Xenopus tropicalis: one gene and its partner. The protein of the gene in region 1 interacts with the protein of each later gene in a biochemical or structural test. Links are inferred from orthologs where the notes say so. Each region holds a gene or a part of one and is shown on either strand. Other genes may lie near its edges. The genes, in order: nr4a3 and six3.

The links.
Region 2: the proteins of nr4a3 (region 1) and six3 form a complex in vitro, tested with the Homo sapiens proteins (3 studies listed by BioGRID). The link is inferred for Xenopus tropicalis from reciprocal best matches to the Homo sapiens genes NR4A3 and SIX3.

What each region holds. Positions count from the first base shown.
Region 1 is NC_030682.2:64,938,948-64,943,492, reverse strand, and holds the start of nr4a3 (nuclear receptor subfamily 4 group A member 3), read left to right. Parts: upstream 1-1,636; 5' UTR 1,637-1,760; intron 1,761-3,911; 5' UTR 3,912-3,913; coding exon 3,914-4,545. UniProt on the Homo sapiens protein: Transcriptional activator that binds to regulatory elements in promoter regions in a cell- and response element (target)-specific manner.
Region 2 is NC_030681.2:19,137,727-19,142,063, forward strand, and holds the start of six3 (homeobox protein SIX3), read left to right. Parts: upstream 1-1,337; 5' UTR 1,338-1,609; coding exon 1,610-2,301; intron 2,302-4,337. UniProt on the Homo sapiens protein: Transcriptional regulator which can act as both a transcriptional repressor and activator by binding a ATTA homeodomain core recognition sequence on these target genes.

The DNA of each region.
Region 1 (4,545 bases):
TATTTGCGCCAAGAACCGCTCTGAAGAAATTAAATAGGAAATTACCATAATAACAAACAGAAGGAAGTTCAGCAAACTATTTTTTAATGTTTTTTTCTCAAGTATTGAAAAACAGTACAGAATCGTTCCAGCAACCAAGTAAGTGTGTATCTCAGCAGCGGCGACTGCAGCTTGATACCCGCTTATTATCTAACTTTTGATTGGATGGGGCAGGAGGTTTCAAGATCCCTTGCGGGTAATGTCGTGTTGTAAATAGCGACAGAACTTTTCACCGTGCCGAGTGTGGACTATGGGACGAATGCAATATGGAGATATTACCTGCAGTTGCCATAGTAATGATGCTGTAGGCAACATGATCGTAGCTGTGTGATGTACGGCAGTGATCTGACTCTTTCTTTTTAAGCATGCTTTTGATTGCGAATTATAACTTGCATCGAGCAGGTTAGGTAAGAATGGTATTGTTTGAAAATGGCAGGTGCTATTGTGGAAATGGGAACTATTGGTGAGCTGATCAGTTAGATGAAGTTGTGGTTTTGGATCTTCTGGTTATGAGTTGTTATGTGTTATCTGTTTTTGTGTAGCTACACAAATTGTCTTAGATTAGTGATGTTAGATGTTAGTGATACTGCTGTTATTTTGTTTGTTTTTCTCCTGTTGGTTACTAGTGGAAATCTCACTTTTTCTGACTATTGGAGCCAGTCTACTCCTACATAAAAGCATTGCTTGGATGGATATGCACTGATATAAATAGAACATAACATACATAAAACAACACTTTCTACACTTTTACAATTATGTAGTGATTATGTGGGAAAATTGCATTAGTTCTGTTCATTATAGTTTGAAAAGCTCAAGAAAACTCACTAATTTACCACACTTATTTATCTTTTAAGCAATTTAGTGAAGTCTGAGCTCATGAGATTATTTGAGATCTGTGGTCTAATGCAATAATTAGGTGGATGTTTTGAGGCCATCAAAGTGTTCCTTAGGTAACCTGGAGACCAGGCTAGTCTGTGGGCAGCCTGGATGCTCAGAGTGAGGCAGTTAGCTTGAGAGAGAGAGAGAGAGAGCAGTGGAGACAGGTCAGATGAACACCAGCAGATACAAATAACAGGTAATAAAGTATGCATAGATACTCCTTTCACTGATATATAACACTTCAGTAACAGTTTTCAGTAACAGCTGCTTGCTCTTATGGATATATGTTATAGAAGGATGGCTTTTTATCATTTAAGCTGCTATAAAATAATGACCATCTGTGAGAGGCTACATGCAATGGAAAACTATACCAAGAAATATTGTTGTTTTTGTATTTGGAAATCTTTATTATTCAGCTGTTTGTACATCAACTAAGATCAATTGTTATAGATTTGCCTTAACCGGTTTAAAGACATAAACACAAATGTATATGCATCAAGGGTTTTGTTTGATTTTTTACTGTTTCATTCCAATTTGTCATATAAATCCACTCAAGTAATGTAAATATATATTGTCTGCAATATAATGTTTAGTACACATTCAGATACATTTTCTTTGCAATTACTAAATATTCTGATTGATTTTATTATTTATTGATTTAATTATGGAACAATATCTTGCCCTTTACTCTACATATTCTCTTTTCTGTTAGATTCTAGGTTAAAGGAACAGCTACCATTAAGCCCTAAAATCACACTGACAACAATCTTCAGAAGTAGTGAATTTTCAGCTTTTATTTCTGATAGTCTGCCAAACCCTTCCACCATTCACCAATCATCTAGGTAATCATCAAAGGCTTGTATTTGTTATAGCTGGGTGCTAACATTGTAAATAGTTTATATTTACAGCCAAATGGCCATAAGATCTAACCAATTATGTTAGGAGCCAAATAGGAAAACATTTATTCAGCCCTGTACTATAAAATAACTATTTAAATCCTTTCTACATGCAGAAATTGTTACCTTTATAACCATTTATATATCAGCATAAATGCGTTTTACCGGTATATAATGAACATTGTTTCACTTTCAGTTTTAAATAAGACCTGAAATGAAATGTTATCTACTTGTAGGGAAGTTATCAAGGTATACAACATGAAGTGTTAAATTACCTGAATAAAAGAAAGTACAAGTATGGGACCCATTATCCAGAATGCTCGGGACCTGGGGTTTTCCGGATAAAGGATCTTTCTGTAATTTGGATCTCCATACCTTAAGTCTACTAAATGATTATTTAAACATTAAATAAACTCGATAGGCTTGTTTTGCTCCCAATAAGGATTCATTTTATCTTAGTTGGAATCAAGTACAAGGTACTGTCTTATTATTACAGAGAAAAATAAAATCATTTTAAAAAATTAGAATTATTTGTTTATAATGGAGTCAATGGGGGATGGCCTTCCCCTAATTCGTAACTTTCTGGTTAACGAGTTTCCGGATAACGGGCACTTAGTGCCTTATGAGATATTGTTTATGTGTATTTTTATGATTTAAAACCATATTACTACAATATGCCAAATTTATGGTTAACTGTAACTGGTAACCTGCAGCAGAAGTCTGAGTCAGGGACATCCTCAGGGCTTGTCTGCCAGCCTGCAAATAATATAGAGGAATCTTTGGAACTGACTGCTCACAACATGAATTATAAACAATAAAAATCAATAGGCTAGCATCCATAGTGCATGTTATCATAGAAAACAAGTGTGCCAAATGTGTTGTGGAAAAAGCTAAAATGTTTATTTTGACATAATCTCTTTCTTTTTTCTCTATATTTAACAAAGGATATGCTGTAAATTTATAAGAAAATACATATGAAGAAGTAGCACTAATATATACACATTACTAAACAAGAAAGAAAAGTTTAGGACAGAAAAATATAGAGATGCACCTGTATTTGTTACAAAATATAACACAAGCAGGTCCATCAAATTATATAAAACATTGGCGGATCCTGAGGGCAGACCCAGTCTTCAGGTAAATTAAGACTGAAAGGAACCTATAATTAAATTTCAGACAGTATTATCTGTTTGAATGTGGGTGCCCTGGAATGATATTATGTTCAATGGAAAGCTTTTTTTATAGGCACACTGGAGACCACCTGAGTCTTTTATATTTGTAGCCTAATGCTGTAGGAACTAGAAGATAAAAGGGGTTGTAACAACTTTCCAATACAAACAAATTACAGATTTTTAATTATTTAAAATGTATTTGTAAATATAATTCTGACTGAAACCAGTTTCTGTCTCTTCTTTGCCATTTCTCTGCATTGTTGATTCTGGCTCTATTTACAATGCTTTGCATGTTTTGTGACTACCTGTGAAAAAGAGTCTCAGAAGTGGGCACGGTGGTCTGGCAATTGGAGTTTTGGCTGTAGATAAGCTGATTCCTGCTGCATTGTTTTAAAGTTACATGCACAAAGTAGCACAGTACAAGCAGAAGCATGTTTAATTGTAATAACATTAAGAAATTAATTTAAAGGGGAAGTAAAGCCTATTTTGTGTAAGAGAATCCCTATATAGGCTCCCATAGGTGCGATCACTGGCCAAGAGCATGTGCATTTACTAAAAGTCAGGACCAGGTCAGCTTACAGTTTGCATGTTCTTCGCTGATCACACCAGCCAAACATAGAAGGCACCAAACTTGCCGCACAGGGGAGCTGGGCAACTGGGGAGAATGTACCCCTATGTACTTAAAATATATACAGTAATTTGTTTTTATAGTCCCAGATTTTATGTTTTTTTTATGTGGTCCCATTCAAGTAAACTTCGTTTTTTCTTTCCTCGATATAATGTTTTCCTGGAAAAAGATGGTATTCTACTTTGTTTTTATGCATGATAATAAATTGGGGAAAGGTTTACAGGCAAACAGGGTATTTTGATCACTTAAGTTTATAAAGAAATAGTAAAAATGTATATATATTTTTTAAATCCACAGGTATGCCATGCATGCAAGCACGGTATAGTCCATCACCACCTGTTTCCACATTTATAACTCAGCATTACTCTCATGGCTCTGAGCTCAGTAAACAATTAATTAGTTCTTACCATTCCAAAGTGAACATGGATCTAAACTGCACAGGGATTACAGCGTCAGCTACCACATCCCTGCCAAGTTTTAGCTCTTTCATGGATGGATATTCTGGAAGTTATGAACACAAACCCTCATGTTTATATCAAATGCAAGCATCGAGTCAGAGATCCTTGATAAAGTTGGAGAGTTACCATCCAATCAACTATCAACCATCAATTTCTCAACAAGCAAATGTTATGTCTAGCCCATCTATGTATTTTAAGCAGTCTCCTCCTTCAACCCCGACAACCCCAGAATACCCAGCTCATCTGTCACCACGATGGGAACAACTTGACACATTGCCACCTTCACAGTCATGTATAAACTCTGGGCCTTTGGTTGAAACTTTACTTAAAACTGTTACACCCCAGTATCCAAATTTTCACCTAAAGTATTCTCCTTTGAATAACCCAATTTCTAACTCACGGATGTGTTATGACCTGTCTCAAAGTATATTATTATGTCCTGAAGGAGTCTCTGCCCATGGGGCAATGGATCA
Region 2 (4,337 bases), on another chromosome or scaffold:
TGATAGATAGATAGATAGATAGATAGATAGATATAGATAGATAGATAAAGAGCATGAAACAAATTTGATTGATAAAGAATGCAGTCACTGAGCCCAAATATAATTGATTATACATTTAAAGAGCAGTTATAGACAGATATTTATAGATAGTATGTCCATTAGCTTAGAATATATAGATGATATATAAATAAACAAATTGGTAATAAAAGTGATTGTATGATGCGTTTTAAATAACTTATAAATCGCATTATAAACTAGTTGGGTAGTGGGCCTGTTAGGCATATTAAAACAGATGGAGATGATAGATAATAGATAGATAGATGATAGATAGATGATAGATAGATAGATAATAGATAGATAGATAGATAGATAGATAGATAGATAGATAGATAGATAGATAGATAATAGATAGATAGATGATAGATAGATAGATGATAGATAGATAGATAGATAGATAGATAGATAGATAGATAGATAGATAGATGATAGATAGATATAGATAGATATAGATAGATAGATGATAGATAGATAGATAAATAGATTATAGAAATCTTATAAGATAGATAACATATTAATAAATACAGAATATTAGTGGGTAGACAAAGGGAGAGTATATGGGTAGAGAGGCTGAGAAATATAGCTATATGACAGAAAGGCAGATAGATGGTTAGCCAGACAGACAGACAGGCAGATATCTAGACAGAGAGGAAGGCAGATAGATGGATAGCCAGACAGACAGATAGGCAGATAGATGGCAGATACAATGGGTGAGGCCAAGAAGCCAGACATTGCTGCAGTTGAGACAAACTTTTACAAAGCCCTGAGAGTGGAGCAAGTGGAGCAGGAATATAGCGCCTGGCTTGGCACAATAAGGGTTAATGGGTGCCATGGCCGGGCCCAGGGTAGGTGGGTGCAGCAGGCAGTGCCCGGAGCAGGGTGACCCGGGTAAGGGTGCTCTCATGATCTCATCTCTCCATTCTTCCCCAGCACTATTGCTGCTCACATGGGCAGAATGAAGGGAAACTACGTGCAAATCATGTGGAAACGGTCTCAGTGAGAAGCCCTTTATTCCCAATGTGTATCCCCAGCCCCTTGGCCCATTTACTCCCCCCCCCCCCCCCCCCATATATCTCTTCTTACCTCCTTCAGATCACAATAATATTCCACCCACTAATTGCTCATCCCATTCAACAATCACATTATTTGATCCCTTATTTAAAGGGGAAGGATGTATGTGTATTTGTGCGGTGGGGGGAGTCTGCCATTAGATAACCCCCACCCTCCTCCCACCACAGCAGCAGCCACACTCCCATCTCTACCTTACCCCCCATCTAGGGGAAGTGGTAACTGCAAGTGACGTCGCCGCCGTTGATTGGCAGAGGTGACAGTGATTGGCAGCGTTGCCCTGGAGACACCTGGCAGACCAATAGAAAAGCGAAGCAATGTTTCGGTGCTGCACTCAGTGTGCATGGAAAGGGCGCTAGGATGAGGCCGCTGGCACTGCGCTGAGTGACTGTCCCGCTGCTGCTGCTGCTGCCGCTGTCGCTGCCGTTAGTGCCGCTGCTTCTTTCTCCCTGGCTCCTGCGGTCCCCCCCCTGCCGGCCATCCCATGGTGTTCAGGTCTCCTCTAGAGCTTTATCCCGCCCACTTCTTCCTGCCCAACTTCCCTGAGCGCTCAGTGCTCCTGGCCGGCTCCAGCGGGGGCCCCCGGGCCCAAGAAGAACTGTCAATGTTCCAGCTGCCGAGCCTGAACTTTTCCCCGGAGCAAGTGGCCAGCGTGTGTGAGACGCTGGAGGAGACGGGGGACATAGAGAGGCTGGGGCGCTTCCTGTGGTCCCTGCCCGTGGCCCCCGGGGCGTGTGAGGCCATCAATAAGCATGAGTCCATCCTGCGGGCCCGGGCCGTGGTCGCCTTCCACACCGGCAACTTCAGGGACCTCTACCATATCCTGGAGAATCACAAGTTCACCAAGGAGTCCCACGGGAAGCTGCAGGCCATGTGGCTGGAGGCGCATTACCAGGAGGCGGAGAAGCTCCGGGGGCGCCCCCTGGGGCCGGTGGATAAGTACCGGGTACGGAAGAAGTTCCCCCTGCCCCGCACCATCTGGGACGGAGAGCAGAAAACGCACTGCTTCAAGGAGAGGACTCGCAGCCTCCTGAGGGAATGGTACCTGCAGGACCCCTACCCCAACCCCAGCAAGAAAAGGGAATTGGCCCAGGCCACCGGACTCACCCCCACCCAGGTGGGAAACTGGTTCAAAAACCGGAGGCAGAGGGACAGAGCGGCGGCGGCTAAGAACAGGTCAGTCCCGGGAATGCCTCCCCTATTTCTGCCTCTCTTGGGGCATCTGGCTGGCTAGCAGGGTACTGGGCTCTGGGGGAGTACGCTGGAGTATTGGAAAGTACTGCTTGGGCTAGCAGGGTACTGGGCTCTGGGGGAGTACGCTGGAGTATTGGAAAGTACTGCTTGGGCTAGGAGGGTACTGGGCTCTGGGGGAGTACGCTGGAGTATTGGAAAGTACTGCTTGGGCTAGGAGGGTACTGGGCTCTGGGGGAGTACGCTGGAGTATTGGAAAGTACTGCTTGGGCTAGGAGGGTACTGGGCTCTGGGGGAGTACGCTGGAGTATTGGAAAGTACTGCTTGGGCTAGGAGGGTACTGGGCTCTGGGGGAGTACGCTGGAGTATTGGAAAGTACTGCTTGGGCTAGCAGGGTACTGGGCTCTGGGGGAGTACTCTGGAGTATTGGAAAGTACTGCTTGGGCTAGCAGGGTACTGGGCTCTGGGGGAGTACGCTGGAGTATTGGAAAGTGGAAAGTACTCCTTGGCTAGGAGGGTACTGCTTGGGCTCTGGGTGGGGGGGGTACTCTGGAGTATTGGAAAGTGGAAATACTGCTTGGGCTAGGAGGGTACTGCTTGGGCTCTGAGGGAGTACTCTGGAGTATTGGACAGTACTGCTTGGGCTAGGAGTGTACTGGATGTGATGGGAGACTGCTGCTGCTTGGGCTAGGAGTGTACTGGATGTGATGGGAGACTGCTGCTGCTTGGGCTAGGAGAGAATTGGATACGTCGGGCGAGTACAGATTGGCAGGAGAATACTGCATAAACTGTACTGATGGGCTAGGGGAGTATTGGATTTCCTGGGAGAGTACTAGAAGGGCTAAGAGAATGCTCTATGAGCTGTGCTAAATGGGCTAGGAGTGTATTGAATATATTAGGAGAGCACTGAATTGGCTAGGAGAATACTGAATGGACTGGGAGATATTGGCAGGGGGGCAGTTTGGCTTTGTACTTTTGGAAAGGTTTTGGGATATGTGGGAGACTACCGTAGGGGTGTGGGGAAGTGTTTTGGGACTGTGGGACAGTACTTGGGCCAGTAGTTTCCTTCTTATACAAATAAAGGTCTTCCTATATTATCCTGTATTAGTACAACTAGCTACGAACGCCGGCGGCCAGTGAGTTCTGCTTGCACTGCTTCTGTGATAGAAATATAGTTACTGACTGGCCCATATAGTGTAACAGTACATTCTGTGCATAGTGGGTCAGTTATAGAACCTGACTGTGTAAAACTGCTAAATAGCTGGGCGGTGGGAGAGTGAGTTCTCATACAGCTGAGATGGAAATATTGTGTGACTATGGGCCTCAAGTACAAACTAATATTGCACAGTATATTGGTGATGGGCAGCAAGATTAATAGAAAGAGAGATAGATAGATGATAGATAGATAGATAGATAGATAGATAGATAGATAGATAGATAAATATGTGGATAGATGATGGAGACAAGATTATTTTTAACTGATTAAATCACTCTGCCCATAAAGGAAACCAAATAAAACACCCGGGTAGTCTGTGTGTGTGTTTATGTCTGTGCAATAATTCCCTGTGTTCCATTTAAATTCCCTACAAAACGAAAGCAGATTCGAAATATGTTTTACTCTTTCTTTTAAAATAAAAAGGGGCACTAATAAATAGGGGACAGGCACTAATTACGGTAGTATAATTAGTATTTCAATTTATAAAAGCCTCCTGCACGTATAACTTGCACAGCCGTGTACCCATTAACGTGGGGCAGATTTTCCTTTTTAAATCTGCCCAGACCCTTCCCAAATAGCACCTTTCTCCCATTTAATTAGCACAGCAAGTCTGTAAACAAACTCCCATTGTGTCAGAAACATCATTTGCCGAATTGTCTTTATTTCTCCCGAAAATAAAGAATAGGAATACAAACTGTGTAAGTCTCCCATTTCTGTTAGGGCAAATGAGGGTATTAAAGCGGCTCTGCTTAAACGGTAAACAAGTTTAACGGTGGGGGGCTTTTGTCCTAGTGATGGTATTGAC